3 linked regions of the Pelodiscus sinensis genome follow. The protein of the gene in region 1 interacts with the protein of each later gene in a pairwise test. Links are inferred from orthologs where the notes say so. Each region holds a gene or a part of one and is shown in the gene's direction. Other genes may lie near its edges.

Region 1 (7,730 bases):
GGGCCAGCCCAGCTACCACCAGTGGCGCACAGCCTGGGTCCGCCCGGGGCGGGACGAGTCTGGCCGTGCAGGGCCCCGCGGCCACAGGAAAGAACCTTGAGAAGTCATCTCGTCTAGTCCCTCTGCAAATGTAGGACTAATCTGAAGAAGTAGGTTTTGCCTACCATGATACCAACTACATGTTTTGTTAGTCTTTAAGGTGCTCCTAGACTATTTGTTGTTTTTTAAGTTTTTCCAATTAAAGACTAGCTCAGCTACCCCTCGGAAGCTAAGTAAACTCAGACTATCCCAGACAAGTGTTCCCTGTAAGCTGTGTGCTTCTGTGGCCACTTAGGAGAAATTCAAATACTGCCCAGCTGAGTGGCAGAGAGCCTCCAGCTAGGTTTTTTGTTTCTATTGGTGGTGCACATTTGCATATGTCTTGATGCACATAAAATTTATTCTGCGCATGGATGGGAAATATCGGAGGGAACTCTGCTTGACAAGTGTTTGTACAAACTCTTTTTAAAATCCTCAACTGATGGGGATTCCATAACCTCCTTTGGAAACCTATTTCAAAAGCTTAAGTACCCTCATAGTTAAGGCTAAGATTTTACTACTCATTTTTAGTAAAAGTCACAGACTGTTTCTTTATTGTCCATGACCTTTCACAGAAGCCCCCCCGCCCATGGTTCAGTGGCCACCAGCGGCCAAGAGCTGAGCTCCCAGGGCCTCCTTTGCCCACAGAAACTCAGAGCTGTGAGGAGCTGGGTACTAAAGGGCTCCTGCCTCTCACAGCGGCTGGGAACTCACAGGGCCCTGATGCTCACAATGGTCTCAGGTGCTACAGATTCAATAACAGAAATCTCTGTAAGTCACTGACTCCATGACTTCCACCACCTGAGTAAGTCACAGACTCTGTGACTTCCACCATCTCGATGACAAACTCATAGCCTTAACATTTTTCCCCTAATACCTACCGTATTTTCCGGCGTATAGGGCGACTGGGTGTATAAGACGACCCCCTATCTTTTTAATTAAAAGATAGGGTTTCATCTTATACCCCAGCGCCCCTCCGCCTCCTTTGCTCCCGGTGTCCCTGGTCTGCTGGAGATGGTCCCCAGCAGACCAGAGGCACCGGGAGCAAAGCCGCCAGGAGCGCCTGGGCTGCCCCCCCCCCCCCCCCGCCGGAGCCCCTCCACGGCTTTGAAAGCCTCGGGGGAAGCCGGCGGGGGGGCATCCCAGGCGCGCATGGGCTGCGCCCCCGCCGGAGCCCCTCCGCGGCTTTGAAAGCCTCGGGGGAAGCCGGCGGCGGGGCATCCCAGGCGCGCATGGGCTGCCCCCCCGCCGGAGCCCCTCCGCGGCTTTGAAAGCCTCGGGGGAAGCCGGCGGTGGGGCATCCCAGGCGCACATGGGCTGCCCCCCCGCCGGAGCCCCTCCGCGGCTTTGAAAGCCTCGGGGGAAGCCGGCGGGGGGGCAGCCCATGCGCGCCTGGGATGCCCCGCCGCCGGCTTCCCCCGAGGCTTTCAAAGCCGCGGAGGGGCTCCGGCGGGGGGGGCAGCCCATGCGCGCCTGGGATGCCCCGCCGCCGGCTTCCCCCGAGGCTTTCAAAGCCGCGGAGGGGCTCCGGCGGGGGGGCAGCCCATGCGCGCCTGGGATGCCCCCCCGCCGGCTTCCCCCGAGGCTTTCAAAGCCGCGGAGGGGCTCCGGCGGCGGGGCATCCGGCGTACAAGACGACCCCCGATTTTGGGGGGATGTTTTTTAACATCAGAGGTCGTCTTGTACGCCGGAATATACGGTAACATAAATCTCCTTTGCTGCAGATTAAATCTATTTATCCCACCTTCAGTGGGCAGCAAGAACAATGGATCATGGCCCTCTTTGTAACAGCTCTTAACATATTTGAAGACTTTCAGGCTTCTTTTCAGTCCTCTTTTCTCAAGACTAATCATCCTGAGTTTTTTAACCTTGTCTCATAGGTCAGGTTTTCTAAAAATTTTGTCACTTTGGTTGCTTTCTTCTGGATTCTCTCTCATTTGTACACAACCTTCCTAAATTGTGGTGCACAAAATTGGACAGAGTACTCACACTGAGGCCTCAACAGTGCTTGGCAGAGTGGGACAATTACCTCCTCGGTCTTCTGTTAATTTATCCCAGAATAATATCAACATTATTTTCAACTGCTTCATATTCATGAAAACTCAATTTGTGACCCACTGTAACTTCTAGCAGATTTTCAGCAATATTGCCACCTAACAGTAATGTATTCCCCATTTTGTGGTTGTGCATTTGAATTTTTCCTTCCAAATTGAAGTAGTTTGCCCTTGTCTTTACTGAATTTCATCTGAATGAATTCAGACCAATTTGTAAATGTCATGAATTCTAATCCTGTTCTCTGAAGTGCTTGTTACTGTTCCCAGCTTGGGGTCACCCAACAAATTCTAACAAAATGATAACAAAAGGTTTGCTTCAGCCTACACTTAAAATGGTAATGAAAGTTCCATAAAGAGTATATCTATATTACAAAAATAAAACATAACACACACCTCCCTCAACATCAAATTTCAGAGTAGGCATGTTAAAGAGTAGTCGACTAGTCAACTAATCTATTCCCCCTCACCGCCTCTATCTGAGAGAGGCAGCAAAGGGGGAGAAAAAGAGGGGTACTTGAAAGTGGCAGCTCCACACAGCAGAGCCCAGGATCAGCTGTGCAGCGCTGCCGCTTTGAAATGTGGAGACAGTGTACAAAGAGGCAGCTGCCACACAGCTGATCCCTGGCTCAGATGTGTGGCGCTGCGCATGAGGAGCCCAGAGTCCCAGCTGATCCCAGGCTCCAGCATGACATTTCCACAGAACCCGGGATCAGCTGTGGAATCCCAAGCTGACCCCAGGTTCTGCGAAAATGCTATGCTGGAGCCTGTGATCAGTTGGGGAGTCCAGATGACCCCGGTTCCACATGGCATTTCAAAGCGGCAGCACAGCATGGAGCCCGGAGTTGGCGGGGGACTCTTGTGCATTTCAAAGCTGGCACCCTGTGCAACCTGGAGTCAGTGGGACTTCCCGCTGGCCCCCAGACTGCACATGGAGTTCCGTATTCCTCCTTTGAAATGTACAAGAGCCCCAACAGGGGCTTTTGTACATTTCAAAGGAGGAATGTGGAAGTGCCTATCACTAGTCAAGTAGTTGATGGAAATTCTATTGACTACTTGACTAGTCAATTAACTGCTAGTTAAATCCTTATTTCAGAGCCTGGGTCAACTGACTGGGAATTACAAGGCTAGAACTACAAGGCTAAAAATAACAGTGTAACTGTTCCTATTGGAGCTGGAGCCCAAGCTCTGAAACTCAGCATCAGCCCAAGTGGGAACCTCAACATTACAATTTTTAGCCTTCTTGCAGAACCCCAGGAAGTCCCTGTCAGTGGAACTGGCCTCTGAGACATGCTGCCTCAACAATTTATTTTTCAGTGTAGATATACCTTAACTTGGAGCTGAAGGCTAGAAGCATTTATAAAACCCTGCTGGTTATCTTAGTAATTGTTTCATATTCTTCAGAAGGATGCCTACCACCTTAACCAGGTCCCATCTCTTCTGAGGGAGTGTTATATGAACTGTAATTAACTCCACCTAATGTACTTTTTGTTTCCAGATACCTTAGCTCAGCTCCTTTCCTTGTATTTTTGTGCCTGGGTTTGTTTGAACTCCAAACATAATTCAAGGGTAGCTGTTAAATTCAGTTTTACTTCTCCTACATATGTAATGCATGCCTCTACAACTATTATGAAACCCATTAAATGTCCATTTGATCCTCCAGGTAGTACATTTATGCTCCAAATACATTTTGTTTAGCGGAAACTCCAAACTGCCCAATGTACAAACAAAAATGTTCATAAACATCAAGGAGTCTTGGGGCACCTTAAGAACATTTATTTGAGCATAAGCGTTTGTAGATCAAAACCACTTGGTCAGATGCATGAGTGGAAATCAGAGAGAGGGAGCAATTTCCATGCCATGTACCTGAATAAGTGGTTTTGACCCATGAAAGCTAATAGTCAACTAAATCTGTTAATCTTTAATGTGCCACAGGACTCATCACTACTTTTGCAGATACAAACACTGCTAACCCCCCCCCCCCCCCCCGAGAAAATTTCTTATTTGCATGAGGCCAGGAGTTTGTTACTGACACAGCCTACACAGAGAAACTAGAGGAAAAGCCCCGTTCCTTGGAAGCCCGCAAGCCAACAGTGTCTTTACTAATGCAGACGTGGCCAGGCCAAGCGCCCGTAGCGGGGGCGGGCTCATTAGCTGGAGCAGGACTTTGAACCAGCCCCGCGGGACAGGACGGGTGACTGCAGGGCAGGCTCCCCGCCACAGAGCACATCTCCGCCCTCCTCCGGGCAGGGCCCCTGCCACTTAGCTCAAAATGCTGGGGGGGGGGGGCGGCCTGTGCACGAGCCTCAGTCCCGGGCATCAGCCTCCCCCAGCAGCAGCCTTGGCACGGGCGATGCTCAGACTCTGCCCACGTGCCTGGTGCTGAGGGGCTTGAGGCTAAGCGCATGGAGCTCCCCCCCGGCTTGATCCTGCTGGTTGGTTCCTTCCGCTCGATCTCCCAGCCCCCTCCCCATTCCTATTGAGGCACAACGCGGTGCTCGGCCCCTCCCACGGACACACGCACGCCGCCAAACCAGGGCTCCGATCCCGGCGTGCAAGGCGCGGGGGCGGCATTCTCGGCGTGAACAGCACGGCCCGCTGGGAGTTGTAGTCCCCGGGCGCCTCATTCCAGCCTCTCTGCCGCGGGTGTCGCCCCTTCGCTCCCCACGGGGCGCGGTGGCCCAGTTTGGCCCCTGTCCCGTCCCGTAGCTGGGCACGAATTTCGCCCCCGTCCTCCGGTCATGCGGAGGCTGCTGTCGAGCCTCCGGCTCCATCCCGCCCGGCTGTGGGGAGCGGCCGCCGACCCCGCCCCGCGACAAAGGGCGCCGCCACCCGGCTGGGGGGAGCGGCGGGCAGCGGCGGCGGCCGCCGGGGTGCTGGGCCCGGGCCGCTCCATGGCGCAGGGCGGGGAGGCGGCGCAGGGGCCGGGGGCAGCCGGCGGGGACCTTCCCCCCGGAGCTGGCGAGTCCCTGGAGCATGGTGAGCAGGCGGCCGGGGGGTGGGTCCCGTGCGCAGCCAGGCTCTGCCCCGCCCCAGTCCCGGCCCGTGTTTCGCGGCCAGCTCTGCTGAGCCCAGGCCCAGGCTGGCGTTAAGCGGCCGCCTGCCTGCCCAGCCGCGCTCCCGGCTCCCCCTTCCCGGGCCAGGCCCGCCTGGGGAACCAGCCCCACTTAACCCGGCCTGTGTGTTTGCGCCGCACGAGAGCCCCTTTCCCACGTCGCTCGGAGGGAAGGGCGGCGTCAATGCGCAGCCAAGTCCTTTTGTCCGTGCTGTCCTCGTGATAGAGTCACCGCCCCCGTGGTCGGTGCCGTAGTGACAATCTCTGCTCTTGGGAGCTCACATTGTAAATAGACAGTAGCCAAAGACAGTTTTAGCCTTTTCTTTGCGGTTGGTGAACTGACAAGAGATTTAAGGGAGGTGGTGTCATTCGGAAGAGCTAGGGCAGAGTAATGAATGAGCCCACATGAGTTCTACTAGTAAACACAACACCATCTTACTTCCTGTAAAACAGGAGGGAGAAAGAGCGACATGTAGAGCAACATCATCTCCCCTTCCTGTCTATGAGGATAGAAAGAAATTAAAGAGCAGGCGTACAGTATGGAGCAAAGTTGATCTAATTTATTTAAGTCAATCCGTGTGAATACCATAACTGGAGTAGACCTACTTAGGTCAAGTTCACCGTGGGAGGTTGATGGGGAGAAAAAGTGTCCCTTCAACTTCCCTTATAGAAGCGTTCACAAGAAAGTGACCAGTAGTCTATTTAGAGGGTCTTCAGTATAGCAGCTAGATCAACCCTGTAGGATCAAAGTAGCATCAATCTCCCACTAAGTGTAGACAAGCCTTAAGGCTACATAGATAAGTATAGCCTTATTGTTATAGTGAATGCACGACTCATCTAACTGAATACAACAGGCAGAGTTGTGTCCACATGCCAGCTTTTAACGCTGTATGATCTTTTAGATGCATCAACATTTACTAACTCAGGCAACCAGGCTGTCAGATCAGTGTAAGAAAATCCCCACCTGTAGTATTTTAGCAAAGATGACATTTGCACATAATGGCAGCATGAATGTGGGACAATAAACATTGGTATATTTTTTCCAGCAGGCAACTGAGAGGATGGAAGATGATCTTTACCAGTTATACACAGCTATATCCTATCTATTAGGGATGTAAAATACTGTTTAATTGGCTAACAGATTAAACATTGTTTAACCTGTTAACCAATTAAAGAGGGGGTGAGCAGGGAGGGGCTGGAATGCCTTCTTTGTTCCTGCCACAGGCAAGGGCTGCTCCAGTCAGGCCAGAGCAACTCTTGCCTGCAAGAGGACAGGGCACTGCACAGGCAAGGGATGCTCTGGTGTCCCTATGGGAGCAGCCTAGTCTACGGCAGCCGGAGCCAGTCCCTTGCCAATTACAGGCAGGGGAGTTGCTCCAGCCCCAGTGGTTACACCTTCACATTTTTGTTATCTACACTACAAAAATAGTGTTGTAAACTCTTTGCAGGACAACAGTGCAGCCCCTTTGCCTAGCTTATGGCCAAGGGAAAATATTCATAGCTTTCACAGTTTGACTGTAATGTTAATAATGCATAAACAATAACCATAGACCAGAGGTGGGCAATAATTTTTTATTGGGGCCACTCCAAGATTTTGGAAAATGGTCAAGGGTCGCACTCTTACATGATATTAATGGAGGAGGTGTGGGGTCTGAGATGGAGGTTAAGTGCAGAAGGGAGCTTAGTGAAGAGACTGGGGTGCAGGAGGGAGAGTGGGGTCTGGGAGGGAGTTTGGATGAGGGAGGCAGTTATGATCTGGGGCACTGGACTGTACAGCTATTCATTAGATGATTTAAAGTAACTTTAATTCAGAGAAGTGGCTGAGTGGACAAATAAGGGGCAGCAGATTTTTGACCTCTGAGCGCTTTTGCATATATGGATGCCGGAGGAGGACAGAGGGCTTAGTTATGTGGAATAGGGGGGGAAGGAGTGGAGGGCAGAAGGTTGGGGAAGGGAGGGTTGGGTGCCAGAGGCAGGCTCTGGCTCGGAGACTTACTTGAGTGACTCCCAGCCAGCAGCCCAGCACATTTCTCAGGAAGGCAGTGAGCCTGCCCTACCCCCACCCAGGCTTCAGGGACATGTGCTTGTGTGAATAACTATGAGCCCAGGGGCAGAGGTGGCCCATGTGCTTCTTGTGATGCCTGTTATTCAAACAGGCAGCTCCCAGAAACCAGCTAATGGAATTGTGGTGGGGCGAGGGCAGCACATGAAGCCTCCCCCCCTCCTCTCCAAGCTCACAGTTTTAAAGAGAAATGGCTCCGTAGCTGCTTTCCTGAGTGGCGTGCAGGTGGGGAAGGCATGCGGGAGCCTGCCTGGGGCTCCCTGCAGTGTCCACAGGCCAGATCCAGTGGCTTGGTGGGCTGGAACCAGCCCGCGGACTGTATTTTGCCCAGGCCTGCCAGAGATAGATACAATTGTATCTAATTGTAAAAACTATACATAGAGTTTAAACATTAACATATATCTTCATCCTTTTCTGCAGAAAGGGGGCAAATTTAAACACTATGGGCTAGATCTACAAAAACATTTAAATCCTCAAAATCCTT
Region 2 (7,433 bases), on another chromosome or scaffold:
CATTCTGGGCGACTGAGCAATGGAGCCAAGAATAAATTCCCAGGGCAACTCCAGGCAGCTCACCCAGCCCCCCACTGCGGTAGGATCGGCTCTGCACTCCTGGCGCGTCTCCACGGCTTGATCTGAGCCGGTCCAGTCATCCCCCGGCTGGTCCCTTGCCTCCAGCTGACACAGCACCGCCGTGGGGCCCGGTTCTCATTCTGTAGCAATTACTCCCTGAGCAGCCCCAGCACTCGCTCCTGATCTGCTGGGCAGAACTGAGCTCAGGGCGACTGGCCCCACAGGCACGGAGAGGAGCAGCGGCCCCGGGCACGAGGGCGGAAGGAAAATGGTTCATTTCCAAGTGAGCACTGTGTCTGGCTCATTCTTTACGGGTGCGTCTGGTCCCGGCGCCAGTGAGGGGAGCCGGGCTGGGTGAGTGTGCGTGCTGGTGATTTGCACCTTGCTCTGCCAACTCATACTGGCCCTGCCAGCATGGCCCTGCCATGAAGGGGGTGGGAGGAGAACCCCAGCAGCCCTGGGACACTCAGTTGGGTCAGAGGGGCCGGGTAAACACCAGAGGTGGCCAGTCCCCCAGGGAGAGGGCTGGTCTCCGAGCCTGGACTGGGGAAGAGGGGTTCCTGGGGCCGGGCGATAGCTCTAAGAGCAGGCTACTCAATCCCTTGGAGCCAGGGGGTTCCAGCAGGCGCGCTGGAGGCAGAGTGGGGGCTGGCGTTCACTGCATGAGCAGGCAGCAGTTCTGCCGCCCTCCCTTGGCACTCACGTATGTTGAAGCAAGAGAGTAAAGCGGCATTTCTGCCCAGAGGCTGGGGCCAGTGCTAGGCAGGGAGGAGACAGCACGGGGCGGGAGACATGCTACTTGTAGCTAGCCTTGGGGGCAGTTCTTAAAGCCACCGGCTCCTGGCTGAGGAGGGTCCGGTGGGACACGGGAGCTCTGGATCCAGTGCCTGGCACAGACGGCCTGAGGGACTGTGGAGGCCCCCGGCAGCTCAACTCCCATCTCTGCACTGGAGCTGCCCATGCTGGGTGCTGAGCAGTGGAGAAGCTCCGTGCTCCAGGCCTCCCTCTGTAAGTACTTTCTTCCCCCCAGGTCTGCTTCTCTGCCCCTTGGGACGGGCTGTCCTCTTGTGGATGCATCTAGTGGCTGCGTCACGGCTGGGGCCTCCCCCGCACTGCTATGCAAATCCCTACACTCCCTCGCACCAAGTCAGGGAGATGGTGTCCCCAAGGGCCCAGCAGGCAGCACAGAGCCCAGCGGGTGCAAAAGCATCATCAGCTCCAACTCTGGCCCAGTGCTGGTGGTGTCAGTAATGGGAGTCGCCCTGGACAAGGGCACAGACTGTATTTCCTGCCGGCGCTGGCCTCAGTCCTTACACAGACAGGCTGGCCCAGCCCTTAATCAAACCTGCAGCCAAGAAGCCCTCCTGGCAGAGGGGCTCTGAATGGCCCTATAACTTGGCTTAGCTCAAAAGAACCAGAAGCGGTGTAAATAACGCGGAACGCCTCGTCCGTGATGTTAACACGGGTCTGCTCCAGAGCTTAGGCCGGCACTGGGGGCCCTGGGCATTTACAGTCAAATCTGCCCATGCAGAGACAAAAATATTCTCTGCTTGGTAGCACCTGGAATATCCAATTCCCCTGAACTGTAATGTATCCAAAGCCCGCAGGTGCCTTTGGGAGTCTCCGCCTAACGTGACAAGGTGAAGTGTTTATTGGCTGGAAAGAGCCATGAGCCCCTTGTGAAATCTGGCTATTGTAGGGGCTCGCAGAGTTGCACGTCTGACTGTGGCATTGCATTCAGAGCTGGGCAGCCAAAGAGGAGAGCAGCGGCTGCTGGCTGGACTCCCAGCTCAGAAGGTAGCACTGTCACCAGCAGCAGCCCGGAAGTAAGCAGGGCAGTATTGTGTTTCCACTATTGTAGCCTTGGGGCTTTTTTCCGGAAAAGCACGTCTAGATTGGCATGGACGCTTTTCCGCAAAAACTGCTTTTGCGGAAAAGTGTCCGTGCCAATCTAGACACTCTGTTCCGAAAATGCTTTTAACGGAAAACTTTTCTGTTAAAAGCATTTCTGAAAAATCATGCCAGTCTAGACGTAGCCCATGGGACTGCCGGGTTCAAGCGAAGGGCCGGGTAGCTATCCCACAGTAACCAATTCTCTGGCTCTCCTCTGGAGTGCTGTTCTGCCTCCACGGGCCATAGGCATAAGGAAACTTTCCGGGTCTGTCTGAATGCTCTGAAATATGAACCAAAGCAGCCTGACTTGATAGCAGCAAGCTCAGTCCCCGAATGGCATCAAGCCAGCCACGCCAACTTATTATTGATTTAAATGGGCTTAGTAGTAAATGAAATGGGACATTTCATGTTATGGTGTTTTAACGGGGCCAGTTTTACACAGCTGAAAACAACTATGAGCTGACACTAGGAGGAAGAATAATTAGAAAAATATGTGGAATAATGTGGAATAATTCAAGTACATTTTACCAAGTGCCCAAGAAGCTGCAATCCCACGAATGAGAACAAAAGCTATGGCCCATTAAAAAACTAAACTGGTTTAGAGGGGAAGTGAAGACATCTATAAAAACTTTTATGTATAAATGGAAGAAAGTGTCACACTTTAAATAATCATATATATATAGTAGCCCAATGTCTGTGACTCTAGTGCTGAAATGCTGGCTGTTCCCTCTGGGCGGCACTGCTGCCTCCCACTGTGGCGCTCAGCTGACTTTTGCGCTGCTCAGCTGGGCCGCCGTGCAGGAGCAAGCGGTCATTTGGGGTCCGCGCTCCCCATGCAACACGGGGGTGCTTCATGGAGAGTGCGGGGCCCAAACGGCCGCTTGCACTGCTTGCTCCCACGGGGCGGCGCGCCTGAGCGGCGCAGAAGTCAGCTGAGCACCACGGTGGCTGGCAAAGGGGGACTGGGCGGTGACGTACACACCCATGGGGCCTGGACAAGCGTGCATCCCCGACAGAGACAGAGGAGCGGAGAGAGAGTGAAAGGCAGGAGGCGGAGAAGAGAAAGAGAGAGACAGAAGGCAGAGGAGAGCTGAGAGGGGGGGGGAGGCAGTAGGAGGAGGCGGAGAGAGAGAGAAAGATACACAGAGCGAGAGACCAGAGGCTCAGGAGAGAAGACCAACATGGAGGAGAGACCTGAAAATCCCATCTTATGACAGGCTAATTGGCTAGTATCTGAAGATACACCTATCTCATAGAGCTGGAAGGGACCTTGAGAGGTCACTGAATCCAGTCCCCTGCCCTCATGGCAGGGCCAAGTACCATCCCTGACAGATTTGCCCCAGATCCCTAAGTGGCCCCCTCAAGGATTGAGCTCATAAGGCTGGGTTTAGCAGGCCAATGCACAAACCACTGAGTTATCCCTCCCCTCTAAGTTGATGTTGATCATTAATATAAATCAGAAATTAGGAACTGTAGACAATTGATAAGGGAAGCAAATGGACATAAGGAGACATCTATGACCAGAAGAATTAAAGACAAAAGGAAGGCATTTTTCATACATATTAGGACAAAAAAAATCTGATAATGGTATTGGTTCATTATTAGATGGAAATGGTAGAATTATCAATATCAGTGCAGGAAAGACAGAAGTGTTCAGTAAATATTTCCTTTCTGATATAATCTCATCCTATGGTGATGATAACTTGTTCCATTTCACCAATATGTAAAACAGAATCTACCAAAATTAAACATTTTAAAATCAGCAGGAGCAGATAACCCACAACCAAAAGTTTTAAAAGAGCTGGCTGAGGCACTCAATAGACCATTAATTATTATTTTAAACAAGTCTTGGAGCACTGGGAAAGTTCCAGAAGACTGGGAGAAAGTTAATGTTGTGCCAATTTTTTAAAAAGGGGTAAACAGGCTGACTAAATATAGACCAGTCAGCTTGATATTGATCTCAGTCAAGCTAATGGAGTGGATGATAGGACCCATTAGGAAACTAAAAGGTAAGTCATAAATGCAAATCAAAATGGGTTTAAGGAAAATAGATGGGTCAAAGGAATTTGATAAGGGTACTAGCTTTGATGAAATGCCCTGAGAGGCCTATAAAGCATTTGAGCTGGTACAACCCAACATTTGGAAGTAAACAGTGGAGTGGCATAAAACAAGGGGGCCCCTGGCTCAGGGCCAGGTCCGAACGGGTCGGCCGGCACGCAGGCGGTTTGCTGGGTCTGGCTCCGGGTCCCGTCTTTGTGCCAAGGAGCTGGGTGTCCCGTGCAATCGACGGGTGCTCACAGGTGCTACGCAGAGGGGTGGGCAGGGGAGGAAGAGGGTCCCTGGTTTGGGGGCGGGGCTGGAGGCGGGCCCTCAGGGCCAGGCTCTTCTGTGCCAATGGCCTGGGCAGGGGCGGGGCCTAGCGGGAGATGGGCGGGGCCAAGGTTTGGCTTCGCGTTTGTCCCTCCCCAGCCACCAGCCCCAGCTGGTGGGGGGCGGGGTCTTGTTGCCAGGCAACGGAAGCGTCCGAGAAACTGCGGAGAGCAGCGGCTGAGGGGTAGGGGGGGGCGATCGCTGCCCGCGGGGGGGGGCGGGGGGGGTGTTCGCTGCCCGCGGAGGGGGGCGGGGGGGTGATCGCTGCCCGCGGGGGGGGCGGGGGGGCGATCGCTGCCCGCGGGGGGGGTCGGGGGGGGGTGATCGCTGCCCGCGGGGGGGGGTGGGGGGGCGATCGCTGCCTGCGGGGGGGGTGCGGGGGTGTGATCGCTGCCTGCGGGGGGGGGCGGGGGGGTGTTCGCTGCCCGCGGGGGGGGGCGGGGGGGTGATCGCTGCCCGCAGGGCGGAGGGGCGGGGGGGTGATCGCTGCCTGCGGGGGGGGGGCGGGGGGGTGATCGCTGCCTGCGGGGGGGGGCGGGGGGGGGTGATCGCTGCCCGCGGGGGGGGGCGGGGGGGTGTTCGCTGCCCACGGGGGGGGGTGGGGGGCGATCGCTGCCTGCGGAGGGGGGCGGGGGGGTGATCGCTGCCTGCGGAGGGGGGCGGGGGGGTGATCGCTGCCCGCAGGGCGGAGGGGCGGGGGGGGTGATCGCTGCCCGCGGGGGGGGGGGCGGGGGGGTGTTCGCTGCCCACGGGGGGGGGTGGGGGGCGATCGCTGCCTGCGGAGGGGGGCGGGGGGGTGATCGCTGCCCGCGGGGCGGAGGGGCGGGGGGGTGATCGCTGCCCGCGGGGGGGGGGGGGGGGGGGCGATCGCTGCTTGCGGAGGGGGGGCGGGGGGGTGATCGCTGCCCGCGGGGGGGGGGGGTGGGGGGCGATCGCTGCCTGCGGAGGGGGGGCGGGGGGGTGATCGCTGCCCGCGGGGGGGGGGGGGGGGCGATCGCTGCTTGCGGAGGGGGGGCGGGGGGGTGATCGCTGCCCGCGGGGGGGTGGGGGGCGATCGCTGCCCGCGGGCCCGGCCGGTCTCACAGCCCTGCCCCCCGCTCCCCCCGCAGGTGCCGGGCCGCGCCATGTCCATCCCCTTCTCCAACACCCAGCAGCGCATCCCGTGCGGCTTCGCCAACCTGCTGGAGGGGCTGGCCCGGGAGGTGCTGCGGGAGCAGCCTGCGGACATCCCCGCCTTCGCCGCCCAGCACTTCGAGAAGCTGCTGGACAAGCGGGACAGTGAGTGGCGGGCGGAGCCGGGAGCCCTGAGCTCTGCTCCCGCTGGGTGACCCAGGCGCCCGCCTCCAGCATCCCCACCTGCCCAGCTCTGCCACGGGCGGTGCAGCGAGCCCTGGATCCGCGCTCAGGTCTGGGGTGGCTTGTCCCCCTGGAAGGGCTCTCACTGAGCCCAGGGTTACTGCACAAATGCCCGTGGCTGCTTCCTGGGGTCCCCCGGGGCTCTGGTCTCCCTGTGCCCCATTTCCTTTATCGCCTTTGCCCACGAAAGCTCCTTGTGGGTCCCCCCTGGCCTGCCAGCTGATGCTCTGTCCCAGAGGGAAGGGGCAGGCAGGAGGAGGTTCCTGGGGCTGGTTGGTTCTGGCAGGCTCCAGGCTACTCCTCTCACTTTGACTTCCACCCTATGCTTTGAATGGCTCCTGTGGGTGATGGGGGCCACCCCTCAGGGCTGTAGGAGAACCCCACTAACCTGGGGTGAGGGTCAGCCACTGGGCCTGAGGGTAACTGGCTTACTGCTCCAGGGCAAGCGGTTTCTGGACACGTGAGTCCCTCTAGGATCTGCAGTGGGGCCATTTTCTTGGGTCATCTCCATTTCCCCATGGGAGGCAGCATGGTCACCACAGGCCCCAGTGAATTGTTCAAGCTGGTGCATGCTGTGCCGGCAGGCACGGGCCTCTGCGCACAGCCTGGCCAGCCCAGGGGGTCTCCTGCGCTGAGCTCCCTTGCTGTGCAGCTACCTATTTCACCTGCCAGGTGCTTCAGCAGGTTGGGCAGGGCAGGAACCTGCAGTGGCCAGGGGAGGGCTGATCCATCACTCCAACCATCACCTGGTCTGTACTCCAACTTGCCATAGCCAGGGCCACCTGGCCCAGCCCGACTCTGACACAGCCAGGGCAGTCCAGTCTCGGCCCTGATCCCGACACAGCCAGGGCAGTCCAGTCTCGGCCCTGATCCCGACACAGCCAGGGCAGTCCAGTCTCGGCCCTGATCCCGACACAGCCTGGGCAGCCTGGCCCTGATCTGGAGCCCGTCCATCCCATCCTTGCTGCAGCCTGGGAGGCCCAGCCCTGGAGCTGCCAAGGTGAGGAGCGGTGCTGTCCACGATGCTGCTGTGAGGCGAGAGAGCTGAGGGAGTCAGCGCTCCTTGCAGTAGAGTCCCTGGAGCACCCTCCTTCACCCCAAAGTACTCACCCCCATAGCCTGTACCACCAGATGGAGTCCTTTCTCCCTCGCAACCCCCTGTCCTAGCCTTAAGCTGCTCATCCTTAGCCGCACCCCAGAGCCCGCACCCCCCCAGCCCCAGGCCTGAGTCCCACTCCATACTCAGAACCCCTTGGCCCCCCCACCATATGAACTTTGTTATGTGCCCAATTAGCAAGTGACATGTTATCTCGCTGGTCAGAGAACAACATTGATTCCGCTCAGGGGTGGGAAAAATGAGAGAGGACGCTGTTCCCGTGTGCTTTAATTGTGGCTCTGTCCCGAGATGTTAGATGCTCCTGGGTGTGTTTGCTCCTCTGGGACTGTTCCTAGAACCACCACTGCAAGGCATTCCTTAGCTGGCAGGGCCTTGACTCTCGCCTGGGGGCTGTGCAGAAAACAGCCTTTCTTTTTCTCACAGCCACGCTGCCTCTGTTCTGAGTCTGTCAGTTTTGCTTCAGGATACTGGGCTAGATGGACCTTTGGTCTGACCCAGAATGGCCGTTCTTATGTTCTTCTTATGTTCCCTGTCATCCTGCTGCCACCCACAGTGAGTGTAATTTGACTGGGGAGCTTCCTGTCTTAATTACTCTCTTGACATTTATGTGATCAAACAAGAATGTCGGTTTTTATTT
Region 3 (7,405 bases), on another chromosome or scaffold:
TTGGTCCTGTATGTCAAGGCTAACTTCCTTAGAATTATCACAGATTAATGTCTTGTTTTAGATAAGCACTGGTGCCCCCTATGATAAACCTGCAGCCCTAGTGATAAGTCATAATTCTTGTTACAACCCTGCATTTAAGTGGCTTTCTTGAATTAACAATGGAAGTGTGGCAATTTTGGTCTGGAAAGTTTCAGACTAGAACAGCAATTTAGCTAAATAAAAAGGCATATGCTATATTTCAACAATGCAGTTTCCTGTTTCAGCACAAGGTGGTTTTAGAAGGCAACTATAGCCCCAATCCTACATGTACATCACATGGGTAGGGTCCTAACAAATTCACAGTCCATTTTGCTCAATTTCATTGCTATGGGCATTTTAAAATCATAAGTTTCATAATTTTAGCTATTTAAATCTGAAATTTCATGGTATTGTAATTGTTAGAGTTGTGATCCAAAAAAGGAGTTGTGTGGGAGAGGGGAGTGCCCCAGCAAGGTTATTGTAGGGGAAGTGACAGTACTGCTACCCTTACCTGTGGCTGAACTGTGACTGCTGGGATCCAAGATCTGAAGGCAGAGCCACCACCAGCAGCACTGCAGAAGCAGGGATGGCATGGCCACCCATATTTCTGTGCTGTTGCCTAAAAAGTTGAGCCCTCAGTCAGCAGCTACCACACTCTGGCCACCTGCTCTGAAGGCAGCAGCACTGAAGTAAGGGTGGTAAAATATGGTATTGCCACCCTTACTTTTGCACTGCGGCTGGTAGGGTGCTATCTTTAGAGCTGGATGCCTGGCCAACAGCTATTGGTCTCTAGCTGCTGCCCAGCTCTGAAGACAGCACAAAAGTAAGAAATCTATTAGAGTTCTTACTAATCTTAATCTTAACTAAGATTAATTTTACTAATCTATTAGAGTTCTTTGAAGGAGTTAACAAAACATGCGGACAAGGGGGATCCAGTAGATATAGTATACTTGGATTTTCAGAAAGCCTTTGACAAGATCCCTCACCAAAGGCTCTTGGGTAAATTATATGGCCATGGGATAAGAGGGAAGGTCCTTTCTTGGATTGAGAACTGGTTAAAAGACAGGAAACAAAGGGTAGGAATAAATGGTAAATTTTCAGATTGGAGAGGGGTAACTAGTGGTGTACCCCAAGGGTCAGTCCTGGGACCAATCCTTTTCAAATTATTCATAAATGATCTGGAGAAAGGGGTAAGCAGTGAGGTAGTAAAGTTTGCAGATGATACCAAACTGTTTAGGATAGTCAAGACAGAAGCAGACTGTGAGGGACTCCAAGAAGATCTCACCAAACTGAGTGATTGGGTAACAAAATGGCAAATGAAATTTAATGTGGATAAGTGTAAAGTAATGCACATCGGGAAAAATAACCCCAACTGTACGTACAGTATGATGGGGGCTAATTTGGCTACGGCAAATCAGGAAAGAGATCTTAGAGTTATCGTGGACAGTTCCCTGAAAACTTCCACACAGAGTGCAGCGGTGGTCAAAAAGGCAAATAGGATGCTAGGAATTATTAGGAAAGGGATAGAAAATAAGACCCAGAATATCTTACTGCCCCTGTATAAAACTATGGTACGCCCACATCTTGAATACTGTGTACAGATGTGGTCTCCTCACCTCAAAAAAGATATTTTGGCCTTAGAAAGGGTTCAAAAAAGGGCAACTAAAATGATTAGGGGTTTGGAACAGGTCCCATATGAGGAGAGGCTAAAGAGACTGGGACTTTTCAGTTTAGAAAAGAGGAGACTGAGGGGGGATATGATAGAGGTCTATAAAATCATGAGTGGTGTGGAGACGGCTGATAAAGAAAAGTTATTTATTAGTTCCCATAATAGAAGAACTAGAGGACACCAAATGAAATTAAAGGGTAGCAAGTTTAAAACTAATAAAAGAAAGTTCTTCTTCACACAGCGTGTAGTCAACCTGTGGAACTCCTTGCCAGAGGAGGCTGTGAAGGCTAGGACTATAATAGAGTTTAAAGAGAAGCTAGATAATTTCATGGAGGTTAGGTCCATAAAAGGCTATTAGCCAGGGGATAAAATGGTGTCTTTGGCCTCAGTTTGTCAGAGGCTGGAGAGGGATGGCAGGAGACAAATCGCTTGATCATTGTCTTCGGTCCACCCTCTCTGGGGCACCTGGTGCTGGCCACTGTCGGTAGACAGGATACTGGGCTAGATGGACCTTTGGTCTGACCCAGTACGGCCGTTCTTATGTTATGTTAAGAACAGCAAGATTGCTGCATCCTTAAAATGACCTTGTAGCCCTGACAGACGATTCCCTTTTGAGTCAGGGCCCCAACGTGAGATGTGTTCTCCCCTGTGAAATCTATATAATATCGGGGGGGAGGGGGGGGAGCACACACAAAACCAGATTTCACTGTCAATGATGTATTTCATGGCCATTAAATTGGTGGCACCATGCAGATGGGTTTACTTCCACCATCCCCTATAGACTCCATTCTTACTGGGAGGTCTCTGTATAAAGCTCATTGTAGGATTGGGGCACACTTCAATATTTGAGACATAACTTTGGAACACACCTTCAGCATTTATACTCAACTCTGTTGAGTTTACTTCTGTTGTTGCATATGGATTATTCCCAACCATTGGCACCAGGCAATCAGTGTAGAAGTAACCAACTTTAGGCATGTCAAAGGTAGAAATAAGTAGATCTACTGCAAGCTGGCCAACATTCCCAACGGATACAGCTGGCTGGAACAACAGAAGACTTGTGACCATATTGTTATTACAGTTTTTATACATTCAACTGTGATTTGAATAATGAACTATGTATAATATTCAAATTAATAAATGAAAACTCCACAAAATATCTGTAGGTATATGCTCAAATCACAATCCTCTTACCCAATATTTTAAAAGTGGGGTCAGAAAACCTAAAACTTCCCTTTATGGAAGGTACTGGCTTTTTAACAGATTGTTCCTGTACTAACAGACCAGCACTGAATAATAAGATGTGCACTATTGAAAAAAAAAATCAACATACAGCCTCTACTACCCATAAAGATTAGGCTTAAGATAGCAAACTATGAACATTTAGTTGTGTAATGGGAAAACAATAGTTTTTGTTAGATTAGTTGAAAACTTAATCAAGGAGACTGCACCAAACTCAGCTACCACTGTCTTTGACCTGGGTGCGCTCAAGGATGGGCATTTGAACTAGGGATGTCAACTAGCAATTAATTTACTAGTCAAGTAGTCGATGAATTCTCCATTGACTACTCAACTTGGCACTTCAGCATTCCGCCTTTGAAAAAGTTGGACCACCGCATGGAGCCCAGGGCCAGCGGGAAGTTTCACTGACTCTGGGCTCCAAGCAGGCACTTCCCGCTGGGGACTCTTGTACATTTCAAAGTTGGTGGAGCCCAGGGTCAACTTCCCAAGTGATGCTGGGCTCAGTATGGTGCTGCCGCTTTGTGATACCACCACAGCCTTTCAAAGTGACAGTGCCACAGGGTCCATGCGGCTCCACTGCTTCAAACTACCCCTCTCTTCTCCCCCTGTTGTTGCCTCTATCTGATAGAGGTAGCAAGGGGGTGGGGGGAGCAACTAGTTGGATTTGCTTACCGGATAGTCGACTAGTCGTTCACATCCCTAGTTTGAATGTGCTGCCTCTACCACCAGCTTCCCAACATCCACACAGCGCTTGCCGTTACTCGCATCCCCTCTTGCGGGGGCGGGTTAGACAAGCGACCCCCCCCCCCAGGTCCAGGCTACGACAAAGCCCCGGCAAGTAACAGCAGCGGAGACACGTTTCTATTTCCCAGCTCGGGGAGGGGGAGGGGGGGCTGGTTCTCTGCCCCCCGCCGCTCACCCACCCAGCGCTTCCGCAGGGACGCGCATCCCGCCCCGCTGCGCCCTCAGGCCCCGACGGGGGCGACGGTTCCCCCCCCAGGGCCGCGCGCGGCGTTACCAGCAGGAGCGTGAAGCCTTCAAAGCTGGCGGGCGCGGAGCCACCGCAGGGCACAAACATCGCGCCGGGAGCGTTCAGCGCTGGGTGCGCGCGACTCGCCTCCGCCAGGGTCCTTCCGCTCTGCGGCGCATTTGCCTGACGCCTAAGCGGGGGCTGATGTGTGAGGGGGGAGTTAGGCGTCCTCTGTAACCGCCTGTCCCCGTAGGGCTCCTCGGCAGGACGTCCTCTGATGCGTAACTGGAGCCCCTGACAGGGGGGGCGGCCGGCCCGTTTCTCGGCCCCGGGCTGGAGGAGGGTCCGGGCTTCCAATCAGGCGTCTGAGCAGGGCGCCCTCGCGCTCTGGCGGGACGCTTGTTCGAAAAGCGGTTGGGGCGGAGCGCGCGGTTGCGGAGCGCAGTGGGCGGGGCTGGGGGGAGGGGGCACCGGCTCTGGGTGTTGGGGGTTCGCCATGGCGCTGCCTCCGGAGAAAGCTTCGGAGCTGAAGCAGATCATCCGCCAGCAGCTGGCCAGGGTGAGGGGCAGGAAGTGCGCGCGCCGGCTCGGCCGGGGCTTTACCCTGCGCGCGGAGGGCTCGTGCCGGCTTCACTGTGGGGGGCGGGCTGGTGTCTGCTCGCGCCGCTCGTGTGAGAAGCAGCGGGGCTGAGGCGCTCGGACCGACGTTATAGTGCCCCCCCCCTCCCCCCCCCCAGCCTGCAGGCACAATGGGGGCAGCTGCGTCCCGGGGCTCGTATCCCCGCAGCTCGGGCGTTCTCTGCCTTTTCCCTGTCGGCGCGAGTTACCCGCCAAGGGTCCCGCCACTTCTCCCACCCGCCCCATCAGTTGTATGTGCCCCGAGGCAAGTGCGGCTGCGCACCACCGCTCGCCACACATCCCGCTGGCTGAGGGGGGCTCTGCTAACCAGCTGGCCGGCCTTTGAATCTTTACAGCGCACACACTTGTCCAGGCAGTGCTGGCTGCTGCCTGTGGGGAAGACAGAGGGTTGGATTTTTCATTATCTCTACCTTTGAGTCTTTGATTGGGACATCGCAAGCCATCCATGACTTGTGCCAATGAGTGCTGGCAGCTTTTCCATTGGCCTGTGTGATAGTCCTGTGGAAACCTTGGCTCTCAGTGCGGAGAGAGGGAGTGAACTGAGGTGGTGTAACCCTTCTGTAGGTAGCACTTGGCAGTCAGAAGGGCCAGTTCAGTATCTAGGGAGTTCTTTCAACAATGTACCCACACTGGCTCAAGCCAGTAAACCTACCCACTGGGTGCCTTTAAAGGTAATTCTTCTCTCTCAAGCACTGGGTCGGAGACAGAAACAGTCTATTTAATGACAGCAATGTAACATTAATCCACAGAAACACACACAAACAAAACCCAGAAGCAAGATACGGTCCCGAGATCTTTAATCTACCCTCCAACTCATATAGTGTGCTTTCCCCCCACTTCAAACACCCTGCTCATGGCTCTGTCCAGTCAATGCAGACCCAGAGCTTATAGGTACATCATCATGTTGTCTCCCCTCCTTGAGGATGTGGCAATGCCGCTCACTTCCTGCTCCTGCCAGCCGCTCCACCAGTTACCTGCTGGCCGCTCCCTCCAACAGCCTTGTGGTAGATTTGGCTTTGGGCCAAACCTTTGTGATTTCAGCTGCTCAGTGATTTTAACGCTTGGCCAAAAGCACAGTCTAGCCAAAAAATTCCAGCATCCGCTGGAATACATTTTAAAATCAAAAAGAGACTCTTTATGGACTCTGCAAAAGCGACGAGGAGTCCTGTGGCACCTTATAGACTAACTGAAGTGTAGGAGCATAAGCTTTCGTGGGCAAAGACCCACTTCGTCAGATGCATGCATCTGACGAAGTGGGTCTTTGCCCACGAAAGCTTATGCTCCTACACTTCAGTTAGTCTATAAGGTGCCACAGGACTCCTCGTCGCTTTTGCAGATTCAGACTAACACGGCTACCCCTCTGATACTTGACTTTATGGACTCTGTTCTACTTCTTACATTAGACCGGATTTGGGGAGGAGGGGGACAAAACAGGTTGAACCAGTCTTACAGCTCACGCCTGGAGTGCATGCAGCCTGCTGATTCAGAGTTCTGCCCTCCTCCCAGTTGACTTTCCAGAGTTTTGGCAGAGAAAGCCTTATTCTTTACACTGATAGTCTCTCTCCTTTAAACTGAGTGAAACACAGTATGACTTTTCTGCATTCCCCCAATAACTGCAAGCATTGGTGGTCATATCTTACAATTCCTGCATTTAGGGTCAACAGAGTTTGTGGCTCCACAACAATGGGCAAAACACCATTCTAACTGTTGAATATCTAGTAGGTCTAAGCAAACTGAGCGAACTATTTTTACCTAACCACACCCAGGATTTCTTTCCCATTCCAGCTGGCTGTAATGGAAGCATTGATTCAAACCCTGCCTACAGGGGATTAGTCCAGAGTGGCCAAGAAATTGTACTCCTGGCCACAAGCAGTATCTAGCATAACCTGACCGTGGCTGGAACTATGCCTACCAAAATTGAGAGACCCACATATTGGTTGGGGTTGATTTCAGAGAATCACCAACAAGGCTGAGCATGATGTTGAGTTCAGTGCCTACCCACTGAAGCTTTGCACCAGACTGGCACATTTTTGCTGATGCCAAGACAAGAGCATATAGTGATGTTCGAAGCATGCATTCATCACATCTCCACAATGTGCTAATGAGCTTCTGGATGATGTTAACCTTCTTCTTTATCTTCTTTGTGATATTATCAAGATGTTGGCAATAGTTCAGCATCCAGTTGAGTTTAATGCCATGGGTTGTAGTCATGTAGTATAGGCAGATCTCAAAAGTCCACTTTCAGTGGCATTTGGTTTCTTGTGTGTTCATGTGGAAGGCAGAGACAAGTGTTGTCAAAGCGTTCGGTTTCAGTCACCAAGTTTTGACATGTCTCGCATATTTGGAGGTGATTGTTCAATATTGTTTGCAAGGATGAATTTATGGGATGATGTGACCAGATTCTCACTAGGGATGTTAAATATCAGTCAATAAGGGGGTCGGAGCGATCCTGCAGTGGGGTTGGCTCCCGGGGGCAGTGCTAGCCGGGACTGAACAGTCCCATCTCATGGTGCCACCGGGACCACTACAGCTCAGCCTTCCCTGCTTCCACCCCCGCACTGTGTAGATGGTGCTGAGGGGAACTGGCTTTTAAGCCGACTCCCCCCAGCACTGGCTCCTGCTTCCCCCCCTTGCTGCCTCTGATACAGAGACAGCAGAGGGAGACTAGTTAAGTAGTCACTCAACTACCTGATAAGCCTGTGCTTATCAGGTAGTCAGCTACGCAACTAGAAGCTTTCATCTCTAATTATCACTGGTATACAATAGGAATGTAAAATCCCATTTAATTAGTTAACAGGTTAAAAATGTTTAACCAGTTGTTAATGGATTATGGTGAGGGATGGGCGGGGGACTGCGGATACCCGGAC

The links.
Region 2: the proteins of AKAP7 (region 1) and SPA17 interact in a two-hybrid assay, tested with the Homo sapiens proteins (3 studies listed by BioGRID and IntAct). The two-hybrid records come from large-scale screens. The link is inferred for Pelodiscus sinensis from reciprocal best matches to the Homo sapiens genes AKAP7 and SPA17.
Region 3: the proteins of AKAP7 (region 1) and CEP76 interact in a two-hybrid assay, tested with the Homo sapiens proteins (3 studies listed by BioGRID). The two-hybrid records come from large-scale screens. The link is inferred for Pelodiscus sinensis from reciprocal best matches to the Homo sapiens genes AKAP7 and CEP76.

What each region holds. Positions count from the first base shown.
Region 1 is NC_134713.1:93,356,303-93,364,032, forward strand, and holds the start of AKAP7 (A-kinase anchoring protein 7), read left to right. Parts: upstream 1-4,724; 5' UTR 4,725-4,870; coding exon 4,871-5,108; intron 5,109-7,730. UniProt on the Homo sapiens protein: Probably targets cAMP-dependent protein kinase (PKA) to the cellular membrane or cytoskeletal structures.
Region 2 is NC_134736.1:12,369,883-12,377,315, reverse strand, and holds the start of SPA17 (sperm surface protein Sp17), read left to right. Parts: upstream 1-4,366; 5' UTR 4,367-4,507; intron 4,508-5,432; 5' UTR 5,433-5,447; coding exon 5,448-5,601; intron 5,602-7,219; exon of another isoform or gene 7,220-7,272; coding exon of another isoform or gene 7,273-7,348; intron 7,349-7,433. UniProt on the Homo sapiens protein: Sperm surface zona pellucida binding protein. Helps to bind spermatozoa to the zona pellucida with high affinity. Might function in binding zona pellucida and carbohydrates.
Region 3 is NC_134712.1:87,531,114-87,538,518, reverse strand, and holds the start of CEP76 (centrosomal protein of 76 kDa), read left to right. Parts: upstream 1-4,329; 5' UTR 4,330-4,395; coding exon 4,396-4,458; intron 4,459-7,405. Other genes in the region: PSMG2 (proteasome assembly chaperone 2), read right to left, coding at 2,557-2,728, 3,948-4,007. UniProt on the Homo sapiens protein: Centrosomal protein involved in regulation of centriole duplication. Required to limit centriole duplication to once per cell cycle by preventing centriole reduplication.